Linked DNA regions of Notamacropus eugenii. The main gene of each other region encodes a partner of the protein of the gene in region 3 in a complex. Links are inferred from orthologs where the notes say so. Each region holds a gene or a part of one and is shown on either strand. Other genes may lie near its edges. The genes, in order: AAR2, PRPF6, PRPF8 and LSM3.

Region 1 (7,716 bases), on a different chromosome or scaffold from region 3:
GTGCTTCAGACTCTCTGGACTGCCACCATCCCTCATGTCCCTCCACTCCATTTTCACATCTCTTTTTATGTGCTATCTTCCCCCCATAGAATGTAAGCTCCTTGAAGGCAGGTGTTTGAATTTGTATCCCAGCTCATAGCACAGTGTCTGACACCCTATATTAGCCCTTAACAAATGCTTATTACCTGTGTGCAGTAACTGAGCAAGTTTGTCCTGGTACCCCATTAAAAAAACCCTGATTTGACTATTTCCAGTTCCTTCTTATATCTCCCAGACCTGCTAGTCTGTTTGCATGTGCCTAGGGATATTATACCTTTTAATTCCCACTCATCCTTGCTATAGATTTGGAAGGACCTTCATAAATTCTCTTTCTTCAAAAGAAGCAACTGGGGGAGAAAAAAATACTGTAGAGTTGTGGGGTAAGGGAGGGGAATGAAACAAGAGCAACTTCAATGCCAACTTAACAGTTCTGAGAAATGGAGCCTGAAGTGCAGGGCTCTAAAGGGAAATTATCTTAACTTAATTTCTAAGTTCTCACAATTCTTAGGGGCAATGCATGTATCTGATTTATGACTCACAGGACTCAGAATTTTTTGAGTCAAATGGTATATTAGAAATAACTAATTTTACACCCTTATTCACAGATGGGGACACCAATGCTCAGAGTAGACTTGCTTGAGATCACATAGTGAGCAGGTGGCAGAACTAACCCCAGTGCTCAAGCATCCTGACCCATAATCCAGTGCTTTATACGCTGTAATTACCCAGGGACTGGACAGATGTTGGAGACATGGGGAAGCATTTCAGGAACTGCAGGAAAAATCACAGGGGAATGAGAACTACAGGATGTGCTAGGGGATATAGAGCAATGGAATAAACTATTCCTCAAAGAGAGCAACAGGAGGCCAATGGGGGAAATGACGATGAGCCATCAGGGTGAGCAGATGTGTTAAATGCTGCAACTCCACCAGCTACCTTTGTAATAAACAAACACTGTTAAATCGTAATGCTTAGCAACTAAACTTGAGTGTTCTGTGGGTGACTGGCAGTGCTATCTCAGCTTCACAGGAGGACTGTAAAAATTTATTACACCTTGAAAAGTGCTTTGTAAGGCTTTGTGTAGCCAAAAAATCCTGCTGTACACTAATCAACTTTACAAGTGCAACATTCCACATGAATAAATTCTATAAACCTCAGAGAACTAATTCTTGGTTCACTGACTATGCAACCAGACTAGCACCCAAGAGAGCTCTGCACATCCTGTGACAGGACTCTAAAGTAAATTAAGGGAATAAAATTGTAAAAGGATTCAATAGTTCAAGAGGAATGTCCCTCATTTCATCTCCACCTCTGGACATCCTATGGTCATTCTAGGTCCAGCTCAAATTCTAGTTCCTCTGGGAACCTTTATCTAAGTTCTTTGGCTAGTGGCATGGCATGTAGAGTTCTAAGGGACCTTATAGGTCACATATTACAACTGTTTCACTTAGAAACTTGATCTCATAGTTCTTTGTACTCCGTATTCCATTTGTATTATATTTATCTGTATACTCTTAACTGTAGTATTGTATTGAGCTCCTTGAGAGATGAGGTTGGGTCTTACTTATCTTTTTATTTCCTACTGTGTTCTGTACATATACTTAACAATTTGTTAAATGTTGAAGAGGAAAGCTGAATAGAATTGCTGGATATGCTCTACAGTAGGAGACAGGAGACTGTCTTAGGCAAGTACTTTCTTCTCCCTGGGCATCAAGTCATGTGCAACATAAAGGAGAAGTTGGACTCTGTGCTAGATCCGACAATCTACAATTCCTTAAGAGGAGCTACCAAAGTGTTAGGATCTATCAAGGCCACTTCGTATAAGTTTTATTAGAGCTCCAGGAGCTCTAATAAAACTTATAATACTCATAATACATAAAACTCATAAAACTTAGGCTTCATTTGACTAAAACGGCAGGATGGTGAAGACTGGTCCAAGACCAGTGAGTGCTAAAGCCTGGGCTCTTGAGTCCAGTGACTCCAAATTTCGAGCTTTTCTCACGACCCCGCCTGGACTTTCGGCCACCTCTCTTACCTTCGGGACAAAAGGGAAGCAGTCATACCTACCCAGGACATCCTGGGGGTTGGCGGAGTACTGCCTGCTGATCACAGTCTCGAGGGCGTAGCTCAGGTCCATGCTGTGCTTGGTGATCTCGGCCGGGCTGGCGCCGTCGGGGTAGGTCTGCTTGGGCAGCGGGGTGAAGCGGATCTCGGTGCCGGCCCTCTGCTTCATCTGCGGCAGGCGGGCCAGGCCCTCGCGGTAGCTCCGGCACTCGGCGCCGCAGGCCGGCGGGCCGCGCTCGGCGCGGTCCTTGGTGTAGGTCAGGGGCTGCACGGGCAGCACCTCGGAGAAGGCGCAGATCTGCCCGCTCTCGGGCTGCAGCCGCCGCACAGCCTCCTCGCTCAGGCAGCTGCTCAGGGACACCCACTTCCTCAGCAGGTCGTGCGGGTAGGGCCCCAGGAAGCGATCCAGCTCCTGCAGGCTGGCCCGCACGGCCTCCAGCTGAGCCTCGGGCGCCGGGCTCAGGTCCAGCTCCTCGCGGGCCGCGTCCCAGCGGAGCAGGCGCAGCGCCCGCGGCCGCAGGCTCACGAAGAAGCCCGTGCGCGGGCCTGTCTCGCGGGTCCCCGAGGGGCTGCGGCCCGCCGCGCTGTAGTGCACCAGGTGGACGCCCGGGGGGATCATCTTGACGCCGCGGAAGCGCGGGCCCACCTGCCACGAGCTGCAGTCGATGCCGAACTCGGTGCCCTCGGGCACGCCCAGGGCCACCACCGTGGCGCCCTCGAAGAAGAGGCTCCGGGCCAGCTCCGGATCCATCGGGGACGCCCAGCCGCCCTTCGAGGCCCTCCTGACCCGAGCTCGGGACGCTGGGGCCCCGGAGGACTGAGGGCCGGCGGCCGAGGCGCCCCGAGGGATCGTTTCCCAGGCCCGGCTGACAGCTTCCCCTTAGCGGCCGCTCCCGCCGTGCGCCGGAAGTGCGGCCGCTTCCTCCCGGGATGGGGACGCGGGTGCAAGGGGAAAATGCTCCCTTCCCACCCGGGGGCGGTGAGAGAGGGGTTCCTACATCCTTGGGTTCCGCCTGCCACCCCTGGTGTCCCCATAGAGTGCCTGACGCTCTAGACCTCGGAGTCCTAGAGGAGCACCTAGCACAGTGCCTGGAACGTAGTAAGCGCTTACTACGTGTTTATCGACCGACAACTCTTCTGATCAATACAAGGATCCGAAACAATTCCGAAGGACTTAGATGAAAAATGCTGCCCACCTCCAGAGGGAAGGAACGGATGGTGTCCGAGTGCAGCCTGAAACATAATGTTTTCCCTTTCGTCATCTTTCTTGCCTTTTTCTCTCGTTTTCTTCGCGATATGGCTAATACGGAAATGTTTTGCCTGACCTCACATGTTTAATTGGTTCATCACATTTCTTGTCTTCTCATGGGGAGGCTGAAGACTGAGAGAATTCAAAACTCAATTTTTTACGTAAATTACATATCTATCTATCTATCTATCTATCTGTCTGTCTGTCTGTCTGTCTGTCTGTCTGTCTGTCTATCTATGGGTTTGCTCCAGGTCCTGCCCCACCCAGGCAGCCAGTCACCAAGCCTCACACTCACAGATGTTCACAGCTGGAAGGCATCACCTGCCACCAGGATCTGCGCAGCCATCCCTTCTACAGGGTCGACCATCGGTGGCCCTCTTTCTTTCACTCGAAGACCTTAGTGACAGGGAATCCACTCCCTCACAAGGCATCTCAATCCACTTTTAGAAAATTTAGATTTTTAAGAAGATTTTTCTTGAGGTGGATCTACAATCTACCTTTCTAATTCCCACCAACTGTTCCTAGTTTTGCTTTTTTTAGGGCCAAGAAGAACAAGGTTAGTCTCTCTTCCAGGAGAACCCTCCTTGCTGCCATGGACCTGGATCTTCTCTTTCCCCAATCCAGACACCTGAGGGACTTCCACCTGAGAGTCCCTATCTGGAAGAGGTGCCCTGTAACACTCTTAACTGGAACCTTGGGCTGATTTAACCTAATTGGTACTCATCCTGTCCCATGGAGAGAATATTTCTACCATCTTCCACACTTGGATGATCTCATTCATGTAGGAACTTCCAAGGATACAAATCACCACCCATAAACACCCTATCATTCTCTGTGATTATTGACCACATCCTTCCATAAATCATCTACAGGATCTCCATTGGACCATTCAGTGTACTCGGATGGTGGAATGGAATGGAATGGAATGAAATAAGCATTTCTAAAGTACCTGCTATGTGCCAGGCACGGTGGCAAGCATTTTACAAATACCTCGTTTAATTCTCACAACAACTCTTCGAGGTAGGTGGGGGAAGGGTGTTTCTCTAGTTCTCTCAACCTTACATGTATGTCAGCAAGAGGACTATCTATTGGTTATGCCTCCCTCTTTCAGTATGACCTGCCCACCTTCCTTTTCAGTAGACCACAGTATATCTGATGGCATCCTTTTTTTCTGCTTTTCTTGCTTGGTTAGTTGTAAATTACACACGCACGCACGCGCGTGCGCGCGCAAAACATTTTGCAAACCACCATGCATTCTATAAATGTCAACAATTATTATTAGTGTGTCATAGCTTACTCATGCTGATCATATGCCTCTCCACTGCCTGTCCTCTAATCCCCAAAAGGAATACAGCAAATGATTAAGATAATTAGTATTAGTGACTCTATTTTGCTTTTATGTACCATTTTATGAAGTTAATATTTCAAATCCACGTAAGTCACCTGATTTAGGTTTCACGCCTGACTTAAAGAATGTCACAAGAATACCCCTCTTCCTCTCATCTCAGTGTCTTCCGATCCTCTCCCCCATCCCAAATTCCACCAAGGAGAAACCAGATGTCTCAATCCCTATAATCCTGTGTTTTTCCAGTTTTTTCTACTCCTTCTAAATTATATATTAACTGTGAGAAACAAAGCTTCTGGGTTCTTAGTTACCGTGAGTCTTGGACCCGGTTTGTTTTGCAACCACATGCATTGCCAATACATCATTGCCCAGAGGCAATTATTCAGTTCCTTTATTCCTCCATAACAGATGGGAGTGGGGAATGGGACAACAAAAGGAGGGGACGGTTGCTATCTCCATTCAACAGCTTTTCTCTAGTCTTGCTATTGAATTATTGTGTGGACCACAGAGAGTAATCTCACCATAGCTCCACTGAAGTCCTTTGCAGTCTTGCTAAATGGAACTCCTGGGGTGATCTGCAGGCTCTCATGGGTAAGATAAGAATGAAAATTACTTTTCTGATCATAACACAAATTAGAATTTACACTGAAAGTCTGAAGTATAGCTGTGGAGTTAAGTTCAAAAGACCAATTTAAATGCCCAAGTGCATCTGAAATCACAAAAGAGGTTCCCTGCCACTGGGAAAGAAGTTGTACAGGAGCTAAAGACCAGCAGAGAGCAGCATTGCAGAGAAAACAAATCTCAGGACAAGATTCCAGCTCAGCAAAGAATCAGGAACACTATATTAGGGAACAAGCATCTACATCAAAAACAGGGCTCGAAGTCCTTCTCTCTTCCCTAACTCCTATCCTCATATCAGGGAACTTCAATATATGTGTTGATACCTTCTCAGATACTCTAGCTTTCTAGTTTCTCAACTACACAAAGAGATAGTCACACCTTTGACCTTGCCCATAACCCATTACCCATAACACTTCCATGTTCATAAGCTCTGAAAATCCTTTATTTCACAATCTATTTTCCTTTCACCTTCCCCACTTTTTATAACCCTTAATCTTATCTTCATCTTCATTATGACCTCCATTCTCTCTATCCCTCAGTTCTTTCCCAGGTCATCATACCTACACTGGCTATACTTTTCTCCCTTTCCTATCTTGAACTCTTAATGAACCAATTTAACTCCATACTATCCTCCAGTCTCCTTTACTTACACCTTGCTTTTTAAGAAGATCAGGAAGGACTTGCTGAGATCTTTTCAGGGCTGCTCATCCACCTTTGGTGCATACCTTTCACCCAGTTCTCACCTGTGGCTCCAAAAAGCTATAGCATGAATAGTGGCCACACGCCAGTGTGGCAGACAGGCTAAACCAGGTTGAGGGTAACTCGGTGAGTTGGGGAGGTGTCTACACCAAGCATGGCAGAATGGGTAGATGAGAACAATTTGTTACAAAAACCTTGAAGGCAACTAAAACAGGGGCTGTGGGGGCCTTAAAACTTGGTCAGACATCAAAGACACCAAGGTCATCCACTACATCCCAGGCCATTGTCAACTGTCTTGACTTTTGTCCTGCTACTGGACTTTGATGACTCTTGAAGAGAGGGTGAAGCTGACAAAATTGTGCAACTTTTCCTCACTTAAATCCAGTTCATTCAAGAGTCAAGACATCACACTATGATGTCATTTGTCCTCTGTGAAAACAAAACATGAACAGCAATACCGTCCTCTACCCTCAATTCCCTTGACTCCTTGTCCTACTGACAATCATGACTTGCCAAGCCCAAACCCTGGACTACTGCCACTATCTGCCTCCTTTGCTCCTATCCACATGCTGTTGCACAGAGCTAGAGGAAATCACAAAATTGCTAACTATGCTACAAATTTAGGTTACATAATCTCAAATGGGCCCTCACTACAGCAAGACATTCTATTCCTAATTGATTTGCTGCCCCACTCTCCACAATAGCTATTCCAAACATTCTCATTTTTCCTTAAGTCTCCCATGACACCCTAACCCCCACTATCTCAGATGAAGAGTTCCCTTCATATTTCATTGAGTAAAATGAAGCTACTCCAGCACTCCCCCTTTTCCCTTCCTCTTCATCTCATTTCAATCAGATATCTTCCCTGCTTATCTCTTCATTCTAGTGTACAATAAAGAGGTGGCCCTCCTTCAAAGGCAACCTTCCATATGCAGTCTTGATACTGTCTTCTGCCATCTTCTCTAGCAGATTGCTTCTACTTTTACCCTTACTTTTTCCCTTATACTGAATCTCTCCATATCTATTGGCTCCTTCACTGCTACTTACAAACATGTCCAAGTCTCCATCCTTGAAAACTTTTACCTTATTCTACCATCCCCACTAGTGATAGTCCTTTATCTTGTCATCTCAAATTAAACTCCTTGAGAAAGCTACCTACGCTGCACCTCCCGTCTTCTTACTCTATTTGAAACCTTCTGTAATCCGACTTCTAACCTCTAGCCATTCAACAGCATTCTAATCTCTAATACTAATCTGAACTCCAGTCATTTAACCATTCTAATAATTCAATAGAAACATTTTTCTCTACAGTTACCAATTATCTCAATGACCTTTAATTGCAAAATCTGATGTCCTTTTCTCAATCTTGATCTTCCTAAATCCCTTTGTGGGATTTAATGCTGTTGACCACCTTCTCCTGGAAACTCTAAGCTCTATGGGTTTTGTGACACTTCTCTTCTAGCTGTCTTGCCTGACTGCTCCTTCTAATTCTCCATGACTAGTTCTTCATCCATGCCATGCCCACTGACCACAGGTGTCCTCCAGGGCTCTGTCCTGGACTGTCTTCTCTTTTTACTCTATACTATTTCATTTGGTGATCTCACCATTCCCTATAGGGTCAATTATTTCTATATTCCCAAATCTATATATCCAGCCCTAATCTTTCTTGGTCATTTAGTCACTGAATAAATATTAAGTG
Region 2 (7,187 bases), on a different chromosome or scaffold from region 3:
GCATGGATTCAGCTACTGATATATGATCACTCTCCACAAATGTTTAAGATATTTGTTTAATATCAATATATGACACTTATATAAAGATTTAAAGTTTGCAAAGTGATTTACACGTTGTCTCATTTCAGACCCAAAATAATCCTGTGAGGTATGTACATCTCTTACTCTTTCCACTTTGTATTTGAAGAAGCCATGGTTCAGAAAGGTTAACTGATTTGGACCGTCACACACCTAATAAGTATAAGAGGCAGGGTTTTAATCCAAGTGAAGCCTCTATCCATGAAGCCATATTACTTCTTAACAGATTTCAATCAAGTCAAAAAATACTCATTAGGTGCTATGCTGCAGGATGCTGAGCAGTGGGGATACAGAGACAGAGGCAAAAACAGTCTCTACCCTCAAGGAGCAAGGACTCCTAATGATGGGAGATAACATGCAAACAACTATATACAAAATGGAGAAAATCTGAGAGGAAAAACACTAATATTCAGGACAACTGGGAAAGAAAGTTATCTTGTAGAAGGTGGGGTTTAACAGACATGAAGTAAGCTAGGGAAGATAAGGGAGCAAAATGTCATTTCATCTACCTTACCCTTACACCCATTTCCCTCCTCTGTTTTTCTAGCATACTCCTAAACACTTTTATTTCTCTAGTAAAGGGAAATTTATGGGGAGGAAAAAGTAATTTCAACATGCCACAGTGCTATTTCAACGGAAATTAAGCATTGCTGTATTCTCAAAACAAAACTTAAATGCTTTAAACTGTATAGGAAGATGAAATCTCTGGTCTATTGCTGAAAGGACATTGTGTTCAGTTTTTTCCCCTAACTGGATCAATTAAGACAGACGAAAGATGAGCTACAGGTAGGAAAGATGAAATGTTACAATCTGTCCAATCCAGGATCAAGAAAGAGAGCTTGAACGTAAGGCAGTGGGGTTTCCCAGAAGGAGCCCTGGGCTGAATCAGGAATCCCGAAATTGAAAATCCCTGCAGTGACACTTCCTGGCTCAGGTGGCAAAGCATCTAATCTCCCTAAACCCCAGGTATCCGACTTGTAAGACGTAGGGGATGTATTCTTGCATCAGTCACAGCAGGGTTGCAAGAGAAGTCTTTGGCAAACCCCGCGGCTTACTTAGTACTGAACGGTGGTCACTATTAGGAGGCAGTACTTGTTTGGATAAAGATGGGTAAGGAGAGCGAACTGAAGATCAAGGCCTGCTGGGGAATCGGAGGGAATGAAGAGAGAGGAAGACAGGGGAGGGATAAATAGGATGAGGAGAGACAGAGAGAAAAGAGAATAGAAAGGACGATAAGTATGGGGTGGGGAAAGTGTGTGTGTGTGTGTGTGTGTGTGTGTGTGTGTGTGTGTGTGTGTGTGACAGACCAGCCCCCCCAGAGCAGCCTCCACCGCTCCCCACCCCTCCCCCGAGGGCACGGGCGGACGACCAGAGGGCGGAGGAGCGATGAGGGACGCAGCTTCCACCGGCCCAAGGCCGTCTCGCTCTCGTTCGGGCCCCGGCCTCGGCTCTGCTGCAGTCCCCGCTCACCCGCGGCCCAGCCCCGGCACATAGCCAAGGGGCGCGGGCATTCCCAAGAACGGCTTCTTCTTCTTGTTCATGGTGTCTGCTGGTAGCGGGAAAGCCGGGGATCTCCGGGGAAGCCAAGGGGGACACCCCAAAGTACTCCTCCGAGACTGAGATGTCGCAGAACCTCGGACCTGAGGAGGAGGAAGTACGTCACCCGAAACCCGGAAGTGTAGAACGTCTCCGTTGCGACGCCCCACCCCTCCTCTTCCTCTCTGGAGGTTGACAGGAAGCACTTTTTCCCTAGCCTTCCGGCCCGACGGTGTCAAAACAGCGAGGGCCCTAAGTGGTAGGTGTCTACGCATGCGTAGGAGATCCGTTCTGGGGAGGTCGCCGGGAGCGTGGGAATGTGGGAGCGCCTTTTGTGCACATGCGCGCAGGTACACAGCTTCTCCCCCTCCCCGCATAAAGCTGCCCACGCTCTTCCTACCTGGCTCCGCCCACGGATACGATACACGTAACGTAAAGACACAAAGCTCCCAGCTCGTGAACACGGACGCACGAAAACACAATTCAGTTCGTTCAAGAAGCTTTGATTTAGCACTTGCTAAAATTGCCAGGTATTCTGCTAGGACCTGTAGATAGAGTGACAAAAATGAAATCATGCGTACCGTCAAGTCAAGTGGCTTCCGTGCCACCCTGGGGAAAGTGACAGGCTAATAAATACAGAATAATTCAGGGGGTGGCACCGAGGAACCAGAAAAGTCCGTGGTCAGGGCATTAGCCTGGAGCCGAGATACGGAAATAGCGAAGGAGCCCAAAAAGCAAAGGTGAGGGGAGAAGTCTCCAGTGCACAAAGGCAAGGAGAGGAGACAGGCTTCAGAGGAATGACCAGTAGGTCAGTGTGGCTGAAAGGCAGGATTGTAAGTCTGAGAAGAGGCTTTGGAAGGACTCTGCAGACTAAAGGAAGGAGATTGTATTTTACCCAAGACTGACTATGAATGAAAGGGAAGGATGTGAGAGATGTGAAGGTTAGACCAATAACATTTAGCAGTTCATTGGATATAGGGGTTAAGGAAGACCTGAGGGTCAAGGATGATGCCCAACATAGTTTGGAAACCTGATTGAAAGGATTGTGGTGCCTTCATGGAAGTTAAGAAGAAGGGTGGGCTTAAGGAGGATTGTGAAATTCTGTTGTGAACATGTTGAGTATGAGATGCCTACAGGGCATCCAGGCAAGGCAAATATGTCCAGCAGGGAGTTGGTGATGTAAGATTGGAACTGAAGAAAGAGATGTAGGCTAGATATGTAGATTGGGCAGACATTCAGAGATGACATTTGAATCCATGAGAAGCTGATGAGATCACCTACAAGAGGGGCTTTTAACCTGGGAACTAAGAGCTTGGGTTTTTAGAAATATTTTGATTATAACTTCACTATAATTTTTTTACTTTGCAATTGTATGTATTATATTTTATACATTAAAAAAAATTATTCTGAGATTGGATCTGTAGCTTCACCAGACTGCCAAAAATGTCCCTCCCCCCCCAAAAAAGTTAAGAATATTTGACTTTGGCACAGAAATGAAGATGGTACATGGTACCTTGAGGTGGGGTTCAGGGGTGCAGGGGAGAGTACATGGACAGTGATCCAGCAAAGGAGATTGAGAAGAATCTGTCATACAAATTGGAAAAGAAATGAGAGTACATAATAATAGTTAACATTATATAGCACTTTTATGTATCAGGCACTATTGTGTTACAATTATTATCTTATATAATACAACAACCATGAGCTTCTGGCAGGAGGAATGAGGAGAATTTTGTTGTTGTTCAGTTATTGTAGTCATGTCCAACTCTTCCAGACCCCATTTGGAGTTTTCTTGACAAAGACAATGGAGTGGTTTGCCATTTCTTTGTCTAGTTCATTTTACAAATGAGGAAACTGAGGCAAACGGGTTCAGCACATGCCTAGGATCACCCAGCTAGTAAGTATCTGCGGTCAGATTTGAACTCAGGAAGGTATAGCTTCCTGACAGAAAGCATGGCAATCTGTGCGCCATAGCGCCACCTAGCCACCCTGCTTTTCATATGCAACTGTGCTGTTCAAGCATCTGAACTTTCCAAAGATGTGGAATGTTAATTTTGCATTTAAAGACTTTACCATACATTTTTCTGTATTTTTACCCATCCTTACCTTTCAGCTTTGCTAAAGTCTCACTGGGGCACACAACTATACCTCTGTTGAGGAGTCTTGTATAATTTTGAGTTATGTCCCTACTCTCAAGAAGCTTATAATCTAAGGGGGAGACAACATGCAAAGAAATACATACAAAGCAAGCTCTGTTACAGGAAAAATAGGAAATGGCTAATAGAGGGGAGGCCCTGGAGATAAGAAAGGTTAGGAAAGGTTTCCTGTAGAAGGTGAGATTTTAACTGAGACTTAAAGAAAGCCAGAGAACTTAGTAGTTAGAGTGAAGGAAGAACATTCCAGGCATGGAGGACAGCTGAGAAAATGCCCAGAACTGAGAGATGGAGTGTCATCTTCATGGAACAGCTAGGAGGCCAATGTCACAGGATTGAAGAATATGTACTGGGAAATAAAGTGTAAGAAGACTGGAAAGATAGGAGAGGGCTAAATTATAAAGGGCTTTGAATGCTGAACAGAACATTTTGTACCAAAGACCTTTCCAAGCCATCTCTCAGTTGTGTACTTGTTCTTTTATCTCCTTTAAATTTCACTTTATCCCGGTGTGGTTCTGGGGTTCTGATAGCCAGGACTCTTCTAGACAGGTTAACATGTCCCTTCCCATACACACCAGCTTCTAATTTATCCCCTTCTCAGGGTTCCCCAGCTCTTGTAGCCACTGCTAGATGGATCCTATGACATAGAGATCTTCTGCTCCTGTCCTGAGACATTCAGGAGTGGAAGGAAGACTAGAGTGAGGTCATTCAGTATGGTCTAATTGATGTCTCAGCCACCAGACCTCAGAACCAGTAGAAGGGAAAGAGAAAATGATCAGAATGGAGGGGCAACATCCCCTGAGTCAAACTTCCCCCATACTTCCTTATATTCCACATTCCTGCTCATATACACATGAGTATCTCTATACCTACCAGCATGCTACCATTTTCTCCTTATAACTCCTTGGCCCAGACTTGTGGCAAGTATATGACCTACATAACTATCAATCCACTCATCTGGAAGAGACTTGTCCAAGATCACACAGGAAATGCCCCAGGTGCCTTGTTAGGTACCCTGCTCTGATAGCCCCTTCTGAGGGAAGAAGTTGGAGGGCCTGAAACTATGAACTCTTCTACTAATACCATCATCACCACCCCATACACATCACCCAGGGGTATAGGAGTAAATGCTTAAAAACCGGCTCTCTGGAAAAATGGACATATGGCAAACTAATAAGTTTACTCTTCATCTAACAATTTCTCCATCACTTCCTTAAGTCTAGACAATCAACAAAGCAATAGCTCAAACCCTGATTTGTAACACTGACTAATTTCTGAGGTGAAATACACACAGAGAAAATTTAACATTTAGCTCTCTCTTTGAGAGGTTTGAGCTGACTCTAGCATATTCCTAGTATTCACTCCTCAAACTCACAGGAGTCCCTCCCACAGGGCCAATTTGTGGAAGTGGGAAGGGCTGAACGTTCATTAACTTTAGGACCTGTCAGTCATCAACTCTTCTCTGTTTTCCCTGGCAAAAAATTGGCCTCAGAAACTTGTGGGCATGTTTAGGCAACAAAAAGGGAGACCGTCACTTCCTGGCTGTGGGAGCGTGTAGGTGTGGCAGCAGCCCCTCAGGGTAAAGCCACAGGGACATAGAATAGGAATGAGACTACGGTAAAAAAAAAAAAAAATAAGACTAAAATGTATAGAGCCAGAACCCTAGAAAGAGAGAGGGTCTTCCAAGAGAGACCAAGCTACTCCACCAGGATAAAGAGATCTCTCCCTCTTCCTGGGAGGAAGCCCTGGGATCAGATAAGGAAGGGCTGCTCTCCCAAGGCTTCTAAAACAGGATTGAGGCAAAAGTTGAGGATGCAAATAGAAAATAGAGAATGGAGTCCCTAAAATTTGCCAACCAAACCTTTCTGAATTCAGAGATTTAGATACTACATATTCTGAAGATCATAGTCACATGTTATTTTGTTTTATCATTGACTTAACAAACCTTCTTTTGAAATATTTAGACCTTCTCTTTGCAGCATAGGGTTTACAGCAGCAATTCTCAGGAGGGTCCATGGAGTCAAAACTATTTTTATAATTATATGAAGACATTTTAATTTCTAATACAATAAATATCACATAACTCCACGTGAACCAAAGTTCTTTGGGATGGCCTCAATCATTTCTAGGAGTTACTGTAAAGAGACCCAGAAATTTGAGAAACTATGGTACATGGGGTATCTATACTTAGACCAAGGAAACTTGAAGGATCTTCACCTCCTTGGAGGTTTATATTGTGGCTGGTTTACCTTCCTGCCTTGGACCTTCCCTCACAGAACTTCCCTAGGAGTCTGACTATGAAATTCTAATTTACCTAGAATTAGGTATAAGTGAGATATAGACAACATTATTCTCCCAAAAACAATCAGAGTTCGTGGTGCTGTGTGAAGTGAGCACTGTGCATAGTAACAGCAATACTGTTCAATGACCAACATTGATAGACTTAGATCTTTTCAGCAATACAAGGGTCTAAGACATTCCAAAAGATTCATAATGGACAATGCTGTCCACATCCAGAGGAAGAACTATGGAGTCTGAATGCGGATCAAAGCATACTATTTTCTCTTTTTTGTTCTTTCTTGTGGTTTTTCCCTTTTGTTCTGATTCCTCCTTTAACACCATGACTTATGTGGAAATATCTCTAATAAGACTGTACATGTATAGCCTACATCGGATTGCTTGCCATCTTGGGAAGGGGGAGAGGGAGAAAAAAATTTGGAACTCAAGCTCTTATAAAAGTGAATGTTGAAAACTGTCCACATATAATTGGAAAAAATAAAATAATATTAAGTGGGGAAAAAAAATCACAGAGTTCACTCAGAGCTGGACTATATCTACGGTTGACAGGACTACTCTTCAATTTTGGGGGGTTTTATCCAAAGGAAGGATAGTTCCTTCGTGCCCAGGACATCTGAGATATCTTGAAGACGAGGGAGTATCATGAATTTCCAAAGTCCATGAGGAAAATCTCAGCCTCACTGAATTCAAAGATTCAAAGGAAGCACAAGGACTACCTCATTTTTATATTTATATCCCCTGTGCTTACAGTGCTTGGCATATAGGCATGTAATAAACACCCATTAATTGACTGATTGATGAGTCACCTTTTTAGTTCTGCCTGAAACAGTGAGACAATCCATACTTTTAAGGACTTTACATCCCCTTTAGATCTTCAGATTCAGAGAATCTAGGATACCCCTTGGGGAATGGTGGCTTGACACCCAGCTCCTATCCGCCTTAAGATATCTCAATTGTCCTGAGCACCTGGAAACTTACTTTCTTTTGACAAAAACTACCTGAGTTCAGTCTCTACCTCCTCATTTCCCTCAGCCAGAGTATTGTCCTTAAATCTTGTATGGAAGGAAACTGCGCCTGATTTGGAAATCTGATCACCTATACCTCTCCTCGGAGAAGTAACAT
Region 3 (7,122 bases):
GGACCCTGCAAGCCCTTCTTTTTAAGGACACTTACTGAAGATTGATGTCTCGGACCAGTGGTTCAAATTTTGGGCCCCCTGGGATGGCCATGTTGAGGGCCTTTGAGGTGAAAAAGGCCTTCAGGTCAAATAGATAGAAGTAGTTGTCATCCACAAGGTCAGTTAGGAGTTGATTGGCCAGGCGGTAAAGAGTAGACATCATGGGTAAAGTGAATTGCCAGCGCTGATAAGTGGAGCCATTCACGTACCTGGAAACAAGGGGGGCAAAAGTGGGAAACCAATAGCAGCTACTCAGGCCATAGCATTCATTCCTAAAGCCAATCTCTCTTCGACAGACCCAAAGAGGACCAACAACTCCTGCCAGCTGAGTCTGGTCTATTGATCTGAGCCTGTGGGAACTCACTTCCTGCTGTCTCTTAGGGGCTGGTGGTCATAAAACCAGTCGAGCACAGGGGCATCTTCCTCAGGGTCCAGTTCCAGCTGAATGGCTTCCAAAGGCTCCACATCTAGGATGTTGTCAGCATAGTCAAGGGGTGGCTCCTCATCATCAAATGGGGGGAAACGCATGCGCTTGAAGTGCCGTCTGTCCCTCTTCTCTCGGCGCATCATGATCCACATGGACCTGGGGTGAGCCACATCACAATCAGAATCCCAGAAGAGAACAAAGAGACAACCTCTAGAACCCAAGCATCCCCCAGTCTTCCTTACCCCCACTGAGAGATGTAGACAGGCTCAATGACCCAAGGAATCTCATTGACAAAGGAAATAGCTCCAGTGATGTGGTAGAGAACAGGCACATCCCGAATCTGCTCCCAGGGCATGGGCATGTTTTCCAAGAGCTTGAGGACAGCATGAGGCATATACTTCAGGGCACTGTGGCATTGGGTAATCAGAGGGTGACAGAAAATCAGTACTCCCATGATGCTCTCTGTTCCCTATCCCAAATACTACACTGTTCCATGCAAGTCATATTTTTCCAGAAATCAATTGCCCTGGCAACTCCAAAACTCCCATGGCTAGGTGATCACACTGTCAGTTTCTCTGTTTCTTAGTGGAGGCAGTGATTTGTTAAAGTTTTGGTCCCTCCACCCATCCAGCCTCCAGCTTAGAGTTCAGAAGCAGAGAAGGTAAAAGGAACAAGAGAACTTGAGGCAACCAGCTTTACTGTTTCTATGTTCTGGATACCTTAAAAGAATTCATACTTTCGGGTATGCCAGAACAGAGGAGAACTCTGGGCCTAAAATGACAGAAAAAATTCATGCAACAATGCAACTACAGAATGTAAATTTTTGGGTTTGCTGGAGCTCCCTCCCTCAAAGGGCATTAAGAATGGCACTACTCATACAAGTGTTATCCAGAAGGGTTGTCCAGGACTCCAATCTACAGTCAGAAAGGAGGGCAGCAATCACGGGCAGAAATAAAAATATCAAACAGCCTGGGGATACAATCACAGTTTTATGAGGACAATGATCCAACCAAGCCCAAACTGGCAGCTGCTTGGGACTCTCAGGGAATAACAATCTTTCTGCTTTTTTCACATCTCTCTAAGCCCTGGATCTCCTCACCCCAGGTAGACTCGCTTGTCATGACGGAACTTCCGGTTGGTCATGTCCCCATGGTCACGGATGATCTTCCTGACATGCTCTGGAGGCATGTCTTCCTTCTGTGCATCTACAAATCCGAATTTCCGCTTCTCTGCATAGCGTTTTGCCTGCAACTGCTGCCATTTTCGGGCTGGAGAGGAAACCCAGACTGTATCACTGTCTACCCCATGTGAGCATCCCCAGTCCCAAGGTGCCACTCCTAAATGCTTTCCCGATAGGTCTGCAGAGAATGCTTTCTTTCACAAGAATGAGAGCAACAGGCCAGAACCTGAATTCTCAGGGAATACTGAGGGAGCGTGCCCAGGGGACCTGATCCAAGCAGCACCCCACTTCCCAGCCTAATTCTCCCAGACCTCTCACCTTTCTCCTGAAGCTTCTCCTCTGACATGTAGTCGGGCAGTGGTGCCAGAGGGCCGGGCACAGGGGTACCCGGCCCTCTGTAGGGAAACACTCCGGCCATGTCCGGAGAACCTGGGGAATAGTAATGGAACTCAGTAAAGTCTCTCTAAATGACCACAAAGGAGGGTAAGGGCAATCTGGAAACTCTCTAGGGCCTTTCCGCAACCATGCCCAGGTCTCTACACTCATATTAACATGAATGCGACCCCCTGGTCTTCCCTGCCACCCCTCCTCTCACTCCTGTGCCTTCCCCGCCTCCCTCCCCCATTCCTGACCCCTTGGCTGTGTCCACCCGCAGTGGGAGCCTGGGTCGTGGCTCGATCGCCCTCCCCAAGCTTCCCCTCCCATCCCCCCATCGCTAGACCTCCTGGCTGGCCCTCTTGCATCGTCCCCTTCACGGACCTCGGGTCCGCACCTCTGGGTGCGCTCGGCAGCTCCCCTACCGTCCTCAGGGCCCCCCCACCCCCCAAGGCCTTCATCAGCACCGCCTGCAGCGCTCAAGGGAGCCCGGCCTACCCCCAAGGGGCTTCTCCCTTAGACTGCCCCTCACCACGACCCTGCTCCCTTCACCCGGACAGCCTCGACTCCATACGTTCCCTCCCACTGCACATGCGCCCCATTCTACCCCTTTCACCCTGATATCCCCTTCTAGCCTCGTTCAGGGGCCTTGCTTCATTGCGCATGCCTACTGCGCATCCCTTCCCAGATGCTCGGCCCCGCGCGCTCCCGCCACCTCATTGCGCATGCGTTGCTCCCTCCCTCACACTGCAGCCACTTCCCCCAGCATCACCCCCCCCCCCGCCCCCTCCATTTCTCCTTCACCTCTTTGTACCAACCATCCCTTCCCGCGCGCCCCTGTCCTGACCAGCCATGCGCCATCAGCCCTTTACTCCCCTTTGCTTACCCCACAGCACCCGGCAGTCACTTTGCAGTTTCTACGAAAACGCAATGGCGGCAATCCCACGTCCGCCTCACGTTCCCAACGCCCGGAAATGCGCAAGGAGCTACCGAGGAGGGGGTGGGGGGGAAAGAAACTAGTATCCAATCGGTGTCGGTCGAAGAAGATGGAGGTTGGTCATAGCCAATAGTCGCCAAGCATCCGGATGAAGGAGGCGGGTCGAGACGTTAGAGTGGCTTGGCCCCAGAAAGGGGGCGGGAAGCTCTGAGGATAAGCCCCGCCTTCCCCACGCTCGCGCTCTCCCAGCTCGGAGAAGCTCTGGCCCCGCCCCGATCTTTGAGGTGGCCCTGAACAGCGGCTTTCATGCAAATATGTAGGTATTACACTGATTTGCATAATTTATGCAAATGAAACGTATGCAAAGGTTTTTTGATTCCTCCAGACCCGTAGTCAGAACCCTAAAGCTGGCCATAGGGCTGACCGTGGACCTCAGAAGACCTGGGTCCAATTCCTTAGTGCCCCTGGACCAGGTGCGGATCCGGCCAGGTACCTTGAGTTTACCTGGTTAGGAAATCACAGGTCCCACTCAACAAACCAAAGCAGCCACCCTGAGGATAATAAATAGAAACTGTGATGATGAGGATGAAAAGGATGGAGCAATCGGGAATGTGCCTGCGCTTTAAGGTTTGGCAAGGGCATTATCGCTTTAGAACCTCAACACCCAGGCGAGGTAGGAACTGTGGACTTCGTTATCCCAGTTTTAAAGCTGGGGAAACTGAGGCTCAAGGTGACCTGCCCGTAGGAGCACGCTTGGTGAGTGTAGACTGTCTCTTGTCTCCATGGCTGCCTCTCCCGGTGTCTCCGGGCTTTCTCTTTTCTCCATGTCCTGATTTTCATTTCTCCCAGGGACGCATGGTAGACACAGATCTACTTGTTCCAGCTCTCTGGAGTCCCAGCTCTCCCAGTAGCTAGTTTCTTCTTGTGTAAAATAATAATATAGCTCCTCTATAAGGTTTCCAGAACCCTTTTCTCACAGTAATCAAACTACCAACAAGTATTTAAGTTAAAACAGCAAGACCTGAAGTCAGGAAAACTGGAGTTCAAACCTGGACAAGTCACTTAAATTTTTGTTTGCCTCACTTCCCTCATCTGTAAAATGGAAGTCATAACAGCACCTACCTCCCAGAGTTGATATGATGATCAGATGAATTAATATGGGTAAAGCAGTTTGCAGACCTTCAGATGCTGTATGAATGCTGACTACCCTGATTACTTAGCCAAGTACTGGGCAATTCTATCAAGGGTGACCACGTACACCTATATAAGCACATATAGAATATATACAACCATGCAGGGTGGTTTAAGGAATGACCCCACTAGAGAGATCAGGAAATGCTTCTTGTTGAAGGAGCTGTTGCTTGAGTTTCATCTGGAAGGAACTGGGGTTCTAGGAGCTAGGAATGCGCAATGAGTAGGCAAGGAGGGATAGTTTGTACAGAGACCAGAGATGGAACATCATAAGTGAGTGGGGAGAGTTGGGACTAGATCCCTTGTGGCTCTGACATTCTATGACTGTTTCATGGGGTCGGAGGTGTATGGGGTATTCAGGAGGATGAGCACCTGTGGTGGCAGGGCTTACTAACCACTTTTCAGGGCTGGATAAAGTTTCAGTAGACAGGCTAAACCAGATTGAGGGTAACTGACAGACCTCAAACCTGTCAATGAATTAGGAGGATGTTTAGCCCAAGCTTGTGAAAACTATCTCTGGAGGAATGGGTAGATGAGAACAATTTGTTCCAACAGCCATGAAGGTGGCTGAAGTATACAATGTGGAGGGCTTAGAGTTTGGTCAGACATCAAAGACGCCAACGTCATCCTGGATCATCCCCAGTCGTTCAGACTTTTGTTTTGCCACTGGACTTGGATGACTCTGGGAGAGTGAGGCTGGTGACTTTATGCAATTCAGCCTCACTTAAATTCTGTTCATGAATAAGTCAAGACTCTTCAAAACTGAAGGATTAACACCAACATTGGGTCAGGGAACTTAGAGCTGGTACCTGTTATATTAAAAAAAAAATAGCATTCATGATTCCATTTTTTCCCTTACCCACCATTTTGTGAAGCTAAAGTTTCAGCTGTTTGTAAAGTCACATTCTGGATTTTGAAGAAGTCACAAGATTTCTCCCTCTCCCAAAGGTCCCCCAACTTAAGAAATATCACAAAACTCCCCTTCTCCCTCTCACCTCAGTGTCTCCTGATATCCTTATTACATTTGGAAATAAAGGTAAACTGAGAGATAAGATTCCCAACATCACCAATTTATTAGGGTAACAGCATCCAATACATTGAATCAATGGCCTCTCAATAACCAAAGACCCCTAGGTAGGGCTTGCCAGCCTTCATTTAGTTTGGAGAAGTACAGCATTGGGTAGTTGGGGAAGACAATGTGATTGGTTACTGATAAACAGCCTTGTGGCCATGGAGACAACATGAGAGACTGTATCAAGGAAATCAGGCTAGCATTTATGTGGGACTAGTAGCCACCCCTTTCAAACAATTGAGGAATGTTAAATGTTTTATGGGACCCCTCCCCATCTTATAATCTTTGCTAAGGGATCAAAGCTACCAATGAGCATTTAGGGTTAGGGTTGCTAACTCCTTGGAAGAGACAAAACTCTCCTAATTGTTCAAGGAAAGGCAAGGACAGATGACACATCTTTTGAGGATGGTACCAAGTTAACTTGTGAAGCTTAAAGATAACAAACAGATGTCCTGGATGTCCTGGAAGTATCCTAAGGTCTACCAGTATGAAAGATGACAACTTTTCTTTTAATTATAACTTTAAAGTGACTCAGAGGGAAATCAGAATTCCTCAGCTCATCTCAAGGACCTAGGTGGCTTTAGGCAGATGCAGACTCAATTGTAAAAATCAATACAGTATAGAATCAGTTACAAGGTGGAATTAATTTGAATTTCTCACTCTCTACTAGTAAGAAACCAGATGTCTTAATCCCAATAATCCTATTTTTCATTTTTTCCACTCTGTTCAAATTGTATATTAACTTCATAGAAACCAAACCTAGGGGTCCTTGGTTTACCTAGAGTCTTGGACCCGGTTTGTTTTGCAATCCCATGCATTGCTAAATAAATAAACCATTTGTCCGGATGAACCTCAGTTTCTTTTTTTTCCCACCTAATATACCTTCATCCTAATTTAAAAAAAAATAACTGTGCTAAATGCAGAGTAGAGATTTAGTAGGCTGGTCAAGAGGCAGAGACAGAAAGACTAAAGGGAAGAAGAAGAAAATGGAAAGCAAGAAATAAGAGAAGAAACAAAGTCAGAGAGAGCATCACGAGAAGCACCCACATACATGCATATGGACACGGCCAGGATTCTGGTGGGACATTTAGTTTAAGTGGGATTCTGTTTTAATGAAAAGATGAGAAAAAAATCTCTACTCCACATTTCCCACTATTCTAGGTGCACTGGGGGATGCCAAAGGGAAAAGAAAGGGAATAAGCACATTTATGTAGCACCTACTGTGTGCCAAGTGCTAAACTAAACTACACTGGCTGTTAGGTGTTGCGCAATTATTATTTCATTTGATCCTCAGAACAACCCTAGGAGGTAAATGCTGCTATCATCCCCTTTTTTCAGATGAGGAAACTGAAGCCAACAGAGGATAAGTGACCTACCCAGGGTCACACAGCTGGGTAAGTGTCTGAGGCTGAATTTGAGCCCAGGTCTTCCTGACTTCCAGCCCAGTGCTCCATGCACTATGGCACCCCCTAGTGACCAACAACATGCAAGTCATAATCACTGCCTGCAAGGAGCTAACAGTTTACTCGGGAAGAATTCATCCTTCAGGATCCATCTGCAAAATGAGTCAGAGAGTATTGTAATGAAAGGTGTGCTTTATAAAGTGTTTTATGAAGATTAATTGGGGGGGGGGTGGTAGAATTAATAAGGTGGTTGTGTAGCAATAACACTCTCTCAATTGTTAAATGCTCATTATGTGCCAGGCACTGGGCTAATCACTAGGCATGCAAAAAGAAGCAAAAGACAATCCCTGCCCTTAAGGGAGAGAAAACGTGCACACAAATACATAGAAAGCAAGTTATACATAGGATAAAAAGGAAATAATGAAAAGAGGGAAAGCCCTGGAAGGAAGAGAGGTTGGTTAAGGCTTACAGTAAAAAGTAGAATTTTCATTGAGATTT
Region 4 (6,898 bases), on a different chromosome or scaffold from region 3:
AATTCATTATCTTTCCCCCTGAACCCTCCCCACTTCTACCTTCCCATACCCAGGCTCACAACCTAGGAGTCATTCTGGACTCCTCACTATTTCTCTCTCCCCTACAGGTCCAACCACATCACCATCACCCGTACTCAATAAACTCCAACAGCTCCATTACCTCCAACCCCAAATAGAAAATGCTGTTTGGCATTCAAAGTTCTTTATCATCAGCCCCCTCCCACCTTTCCAGTCTTCTTACAACTTACTCCCCACCACGTGCTCTTCAATCCTGTGACACTGGCCTCCTGGACATTCCACAAACAAGACTCTCCATCTCTGGGCATTCTCCCTGGCTGTCCACCAAGCTTGGAATACTATTCCTCCTCTGCTCCACCTTCTGACCTCTCTAGCATCCTTTAAGTCCCAACTAAAATCCCATCTTCTACAGTAAGCCTTTCCCAAGCCCTCTTAATCCCAGCAACTTCCCTCTTTTACTTCCTATTTATCCAGTATAAATAGCTTGTTTGTACATACTGGTCTGCTTGTTTTCTCCCTATTTAGATTCTGAATTCCTTGAGGTCAGGGATGGGTCTTTTTGTATCCCCAGAGCTTAGCACAATGCCTGGCACATAGTGGGTGCTTAAAAAATGTTTACTGACCAACTGACCTTTCTGATTCCTTACTTAGTAAACTTAAAGACTTGAGAATCATAAAGAATCTTAGGGGTCATCTTGTACAATGTCCTCACTTCATAGACAAAAAAAATGGGGCCCAGAGAAGTTCCAATGTCTTGCCTTAAGTCACACAAGTATAAGAGGTATAATCAGGATTCAAACTCAGGCCCTCAATTGGCAAACAAAACCTCTCATCTTCTTTCAGAGCAGGTATCCCTTCCCCCCCTGAAGTGTTTCCTGACATCTTCACATGCGAAGGTTCTCTCCTTCCTCAAATACTCTAGAATATTGTAATTAACTTCTAATTAATTATCTTTTAAGTGCCTGTTATGTGCTACACACTTCTGATGCAAAGACAAAAGCAAAAGCCCCTTCTGCTCCCAGTTAGATGAGGGAGAGAATTTGGGACACACACATCAGGCCACACAAAATAGACCCAAGGTCTGATCTCGCTGCCTCCCTTCACACCTTATTTATAATTACTGATGTACATGTTGGATCCTTCGAGTAGAATGGATGCCCCCTGGGGCAGGCACGATATTGTAACCTCAGCACAGTTCCTTAAACCAGTGGTGTCAAAGTCAAATAGAAAAGAATTCCTGTGGATCTCATTAATGTGATCTATGTTCTAGAGGAAACTACAAAGCCTACTGAGACACAGGTCAGTATGGTAGACAGATGGTCTTGGACTCAGAAACTGATTTAAGTGCCCCCTCAGACACACATACCTACTGTGACCCGAGCAAATGACTTAACATCTCTGTGATGCTGGCAAAGAAGGCACCGAGTTGCACTGATAGAGGGGGTTCCCCCATTTTCAGTTTTTTTTACTGATGAAATCACAAACCCCATCTGCAGTGTGCCCCAGATTCGAAACGCTTCACTCACATGCAATCTTCCTCGTAGTTCTCGGTCATTTCTCATTTTTACATAAATTCGCTCATCCAGACTGAGCCTGATGAGATCCAGCGGCTCCTCCACAGTGTTGGTGGTCTGTTGCTGTTAAAAACAAAAACTGCAATGATGCACACCCACCAGAAGAGCTCCAGCACATTACCCACCTGCTCTTTGTAGAACCGACACTAAGGCAATTATTTCTTCACTTACAGTTTCCACCTGACCTAGCTTACAAGAGGTTACTCCATTAAAAATGAATTCCTTAACTCCTCTTTACAAGAAGCCAGCCTGGCAAAAGTACTGTCACCTGAAGGTTGTTTAGGGCTCCCAGGGCAGGCAGCACAGCCAGGCTAGAACACTTCAGAGATAGCAAACGTTTAAGGGTGCTGTGCAGAATGTCACATTTTCAGCAACGGAGGGCCTGATGGTTGTAAAAGAGTGGTGGGATGGGGAAAACGTATTTGTCCCCTTTATCTGGCTGGGCTTTAGATACAGAGACAAGTGGCAACTAAAGCTGAAAATGGAAGGGACTTGCAGATGAGAAGGGAAGAGCTGGGGAGGAAGACACTCACTGTGTGACCCTGGGCAAGTCACTGCACGTCTGCCCGCCTGAGTCGGCTCAGCGGTCAAATGGGGATAACAACGCCCCCCCAGGTTGTTGTGAGGATCACATGAGACAGCACTTGTAAAATCAGCTTTGCACACGCTAAACCCCTCACACATGCTATTCTTATCGTTAGGAGGGAGGTCAAAGGGCATAATGATTAACGAGCACCCCCAAGACCCTTGTCACTACAAACGTGCAGAAGGAAGCTTTCCAAAGGAATAGACGGAGACGAGAGGTAAGGAGCAAGAAAGCCTGTCCACCCGAGGCAGGCTGGACCGGCGTGGGCTGGGGGACTCCGCGGGCACGCCAGGGGAAGGGGCTTCTGGGACGCTAAAGCCAAGCCTCCCAGGGCTGCGGACTCGGGGCGGGGATAGGGAGGGCAGGACAGACTTGTCCTCCCTCATTGGCTGGCTGAGCCGTAAATCAGGAGGAGGCGGTCCAGCCAACGACCAGAAGACTAGCCAATGAAAACTCCGGCTGGCTAGCCGGAAGGTGACAGACAGCTCAGCCAGCCAGTGACAAAGCGGAGGAGGGCGTGGCTTTCTCCACTCGGAGCCCAAGACTTTCAGAGAATCCCCGTTACTACAGAATTTCTCGGTAGGGTTGGCGGGGAGGGAAGATTTGACGGGATCCGGGAAGAAGGAGCAAAGGGCTGCTCCAAAAAGCATCCTGAAATAGCCCAGAGGAAAGGGAGGCTCTCCAGCAACGTACCTGATCCGCATCGTCCGCCATGTTTCAAATCCGGTTGCTTTTCCCGCTTCTCGCGAGATGACGTATACGCTCTCGCGGCAGCCAGCCTATCAGCGAGAGCAAACGTGATGACGAATGCCCGGGAGGCGTGCAGAGAAAGGGTTGCTGTTACCGGAAGTACGTAAGGAACGCTTTGCTCCTTGCGGTTCCCTGCGCTCGCCTAGTGGATTTCACTTCCACCTCGGGTCTGTCTGCGGAGGTCGGAGAGGGGGCGTGGCTTTAGCCGCCCGGGGAGGATTAGTGCCCCGCCCCCGCCCCGCGCCTGAGCCGCTGCCCGGGCTTGTTCCTGGGCTAGACCGTGCAGCATGGCCCGAAAGCGGGCGTCCTGCGAGGAGCAGCGGCGCCCCAAGAAGGCCCGGACCCAGGAAGCGGAGCCCGGTGAGTGGGGGGACCGGGCGGGGCGGTGGGCTTGGCGTCTCCTCGGGCTGGGGGGTGTGTGACTGGCGGGGGTGAGAACTCTGGCTGAGCCGCCCACGTGACGCTCCGTCTCCCGCCTCCGAGCCTTTGCCTAGGTTGTCCCCCAGGCCTGGCATGCACTCCCTACATCTCTGCTGTCCCTCAGGTGCTCGAGTTTCCTTCAAAGCACAGCTCAGAAGCCACCTTCCCTGAAGTTACTTTGCATTCTTTTTGTGTATATGTATATACACTCCATCCACCATCTCTCAATAGCTATTCCTTTATCCATTTTATGTCCTTTTCATCCACCCATCCAGTAGAATATCTCTCCATCTACTTAAATATTTATCATCCACCTAAATATCTGTCCATCTCCATATCCATCCATCTATCTGTCCCATTTGCATCTGTGTATCCGTTTATCCATCCATCCTTCCATCCGTCCATCTGTCTCATCTGTGTCTGTGTCTGTCTATCCATTTATCCATTCATCTATCCAAGAGTGTAGTGTAAGTTCCTTTGGCCCAGTGGATAGAGTGCTAGGCTTGGAGTCAGGAAAATTGAGTTCAAACCAGTCCTGACACTAGCTGTGTAACCTTGTGCAAGTCACTTAAGCTGTTTGCCTCAGTTTCCTTATCTTGTAAAGTGGGGAGTAATAATAGCATCTCCCTCTCCTTGTTGTGATAATCAGTCAAATGAGATATTAATTTAAAAATGTGTGACATGGTTCCTGACACATGTATTATGTAAGTGTTTATGTAAGTGTTAGCTATCGTCGTTATTATAAGTCAGTCAGACAGGTTTTTACTAAGCTGGACCCTGTTCTAGAGGCAGGCATTACAAGTGAACAGTGTACCTTCTAATGGAGAAGGCAACAAGTGCGTATAAAAAATGTGGACAGTGTCAAGATAAATTTAAGGAATACATCCCCATTTATGCCCAGATTTATTAAGTAAGAGATTGTTTGAGAGGGAGGGCAGCAGCAGTTTGGAGGATCAAGAAATGCTTCACGCAGGAGATGGTGCAGTTTCATATTTTCTTCTGTGGCCCCTGAGCCGGCACAAAGCTGACATTTAAATATAAATGGTTGTCAATTGACTGATTGTTGGATTAAGGCACTAAAGGATGGCTGAGCCTCAGTGTTCATTCAGTTCCACAAATACTTGTTAGGAGGTGTTCTCTGTGTCCTCAGCCCCAGAGAAGGGAAGGTCATGGCCCTGAAGGAATTTACATTCCGCTAGGGGGAAATTCCACACTAATGCGATCAGGTTGGACTGAGGTTCCAGCTCTTCAGTCTCTGAGATTCATGATTCTGTTCATTGTAATTCAAAATAAAACATAAGCAAATGCCACATCCAAAGAAGGAAAGTTCGTTTTCAACAGGCATCATCAAGGAATGTTTTTCTTAGAGGCTGGAAAAGTTTGATGCAGGTCTTGAAAGATATGTAGCATTTTTGCAGATTGAGATTGGAGGTGGGAGACAATAACATGTAGGAAACTGTTTGAGAAAAGTTACCTCCAGAGTTGGGAAAAAGCAAAAACAATGTATTGGGGGAGTAGTCCTCCATTTTGGCAGGGGGTGGGGGCATAGAGTTTGAAGAGAGGAGTATTGTGAAATAAAGCTGAATAGTTAGTGAGTAGTGCCACAGCCTTCAGGACCTTGAGTACTAGACCAGGGAATCTGGACTTTGGCACATAATAGGGAGTCATTGAAGTATTTGGGGACAGAACAGCAGCCTGATCGTATCTTTATATGAGAAAAATCAATCTTGCAGTGGTAGAAAGTATGGATTGAAAGATGTCATTACTTGTTTTAAAAAAAGGGTTGAACTGGATGAATCTTAAGGCCCTTTATAGCCCTGGCACACTATGCCAGTTATCTGGAAAGTTGTCCCATAGCATGACAGGTTCATTTTCTATTACCCCAAAGAATGTAGAATCCCCAGTAAGCTTATGTTGCATAGTATTTGCAAAGCTTAAATTGTGCCACTTATTTTGAGATTTTTACTTACAAATTCTAACTATAGTGACAGCTCTGAGGTAGGAAATTCAGCCTGGCATATACATTTTATGTTTATATGCATTCTATAAATAAGGAAACAGGTTTAGAGATGTTAAGTAGGTTTGCCTCTTGTCTCAGAGCAAGGATGTGTTCAAGCCAGGATTTGACCTGTTGTCCCTTCTAGAAGAATGCTAGATTTCTGTTCTAATTCAGTTTTAAAAAAACAAAACAAAGTGCTTACAAGAAATACACTGTATCACTGAGGGTACAAAGGAAGTGGCCAAGGCCTAGCCTATACAAGCACTTAAGTCAGGCTCCTCTGAATGAGTTGTGGTCTGACTGAGGAAGAAGTCACCGGAAGTGGTCCTCAGAGCTGTGATCAGATCTCCCCTGAGTCCTGCCAGTTAGAGAAGTTTGGTCCCCGGTCAGAAAAGCAGCAGATGCTCCCAGCGGGATCCCAGCCACATCCTCCTCAAGTGTAAACAAGGGCAGTGCTTTTTTTGTCAGTAAGAAGACACAAATCAACAGCCCCGGAATGTCTTCATTTTCATTTTCTTGTTCATATCAGGGCGCCTCTGTTTGCTTCCCAGTTCTTCTCTAGATTTTATGTTCTTCTTACAACTGTCAATGTAGCTGTTGTAGTCAGGGGTCCTTCTGGTCCATGGAACCATCACTGAGAACAGAGGGGCTTACGGCTTTTCTGCACTTTCAGGACTATCTCCAGCCCCGAGGCAGACATGACATACACAGGGTCACTTTTGCTAACTCAAAGAATGGTTCAGAGGTCATTGATACCTTTGGAAGAGGTAACATCCTTATTTTCAGGATGGAAAGACTGAAATACCTCTAACCTAGTCCAGTGGCTTAGGGCCAGATCCTGAAGTAGAAATCCTCATTCCCAGGCTGTTTCTCAAACTTATTAATTTAACACATATTCGTTCAGCAGGCATCTGCTGTGTGCCTACAGAAGGGAGTCAGTCCCCTGCCCTAAGGATATGTGCCTTTGGCCCAAATAAACTCCACCTAACCCGAGGACTTTAAGGAGAACTGAAGTGCTTAGAGTAGTCAGGAAGGGCTTTCCTTAGGAGGCACACCCAAAGGAAGCCGGGGGAGTCTCAGGGAGAGATTACAGGAGGCGAGATAGGGAGAGGGAGAATTTTGAGTTCAGGGAACAACAGGTGGGCCACTTTGGCTGGCATCGAGAATGCCCCAAGGGTGCCAATGCGGAGCACATCTTGAGCCAGACTGTGAAGGGTTTTAATGCCAAACTGAAAAGTTTGTGTTTTATCTTAGAGACAATAGAGAGCCATTGCAGGTTCTTGAGCAGGGGAGTCAGACCTGTCTCTCCTGACCTAGTCACACCCATTTGTTAGGAAAATTATTTGGCAACCCCATGGAGAATAGATTAGAGAGGAAAGATGGTAGGGTCAGGGAGAACAGTTCCGAAGTAATCCGGTGAGAGGTGATGAGACCTCAAACTAGGATGGAAAAAATATGAATGTGACAGATGTGGAAGTAGAATTCACAAGACTTGACAACTGATTGGCTGATGGGGGGGCATGGACAGGTGTTGAAAACTTGGATGAATAA

The links.
Region 1: PRPF8 (region 3) and AAR2 share a complex: the UniProt entries of both Homo sapiens proteins name them as parts of the U5 snRNP complex. The link is inferred for Notamacropus eugenii from reciprocal best matches to the Homo sapiens genes PRPF8 and AAR2.
Region 2: PRPF8 (region 3) and PRPF6 share a complex: the UniProt entries of both Homo sapiens proteins name them as parts of the U4/U6-U5 tri-snRNP complex. The link is inferred for Notamacropus eugenii from reciprocal best matches to the Homo sapiens genes PRPF8 and PRPF6.
Region 4: PRPF8 (region 3) and LSM3 share a complex: the UniProt entries of both Homo sapiens proteins name them as parts of the U4/U6-U5 tri-snRNP complex. The link is inferred for Notamacropus eugenii from reciprocal best matches to the Homo sapiens genes PRPF8 and LSM3.

Annotation. Positions count from the first base shown.
Region 1 is NC_092872.1:420,100,970-420,108,685, reverse strand, and holds the start of AAR2 (protein AAR2 homolog), read right to left. Parts: upstream 3,009-7,716; 5' UTR 2,855-3,008; coding exon 2,107-2,854; intron 1-2,106. UniProt on the Homo sapiens protein: Component of the U5 snRNP complex that is required for spliceosome assembly and for pre-mRNA splicing.
Region 2 is NC_092872.1:496,238,641-496,245,827, forward strand, and holds the start of PRPF6 (pre-mRNA-processing factor 6), read right to left. Parts: upstream 3,017-7,187; 5' UTR 2,190-3,016; coding exon 1,549-2,189; intron 1-1,548. UniProt on the Homo sapiens protein: Involved in pre-mRNA splicing as component of the U4/U6-U5 tri-snRNP complex, one of the building blocks of the spliceosome.
Region 3 is NC_092873.1:39,717,325-39,724,446, forward strand, and holds the start of PRPF8 (pre-mRNA-processing-splicing factor 8), read right to left. Parts: upstream 3,002-7,122; 5' UTR 2,908-3,001; intron 2,076-2,907; 5' UTR 2,065-2,075; coding exon 1,965-2,064; intron 1,735-1,964; coding exon 1,566-1,734; intron 874-1,565; coding exon 709-873; intron 623-708; coding exon 404-622; intron 249-403; coding exon 36-248; intron 1-35. UniProt on the Homo sapiens protein: Plays a role in pre-mRNA splicing as core component of precatalytic, catalytic and postcatalytic spliceosomal complexes, both of the predominant U2-type spliceosome and the minor U12-type spliceosome.
Region 4 is NC_092874.1:429,469,774-429,476,671, reverse strand, and holds the start of LSM3 (U6 snRNA-associated Sm-like protein LSm3), read right to left. Parts: upstream 3,018-6,898; 5' UTR 2,893-3,017; coding exon 2,872-2,892; intron 1,656-2,871; coding exon 1,545-1,655; intron 1-1,544. Other genes in the region: XPC (DNA repair protein complementing XP-C cells), read left to right, coding at 3,216-3,288. UniProt on the Homo sapiens protein: Plays a role in pre-mRNA splicing as component of the U4/U6-U5 tri-snRNP complex that is involved in spliceosome assembly, and as component of the precatalytic spliceosome (spliceosome B complex).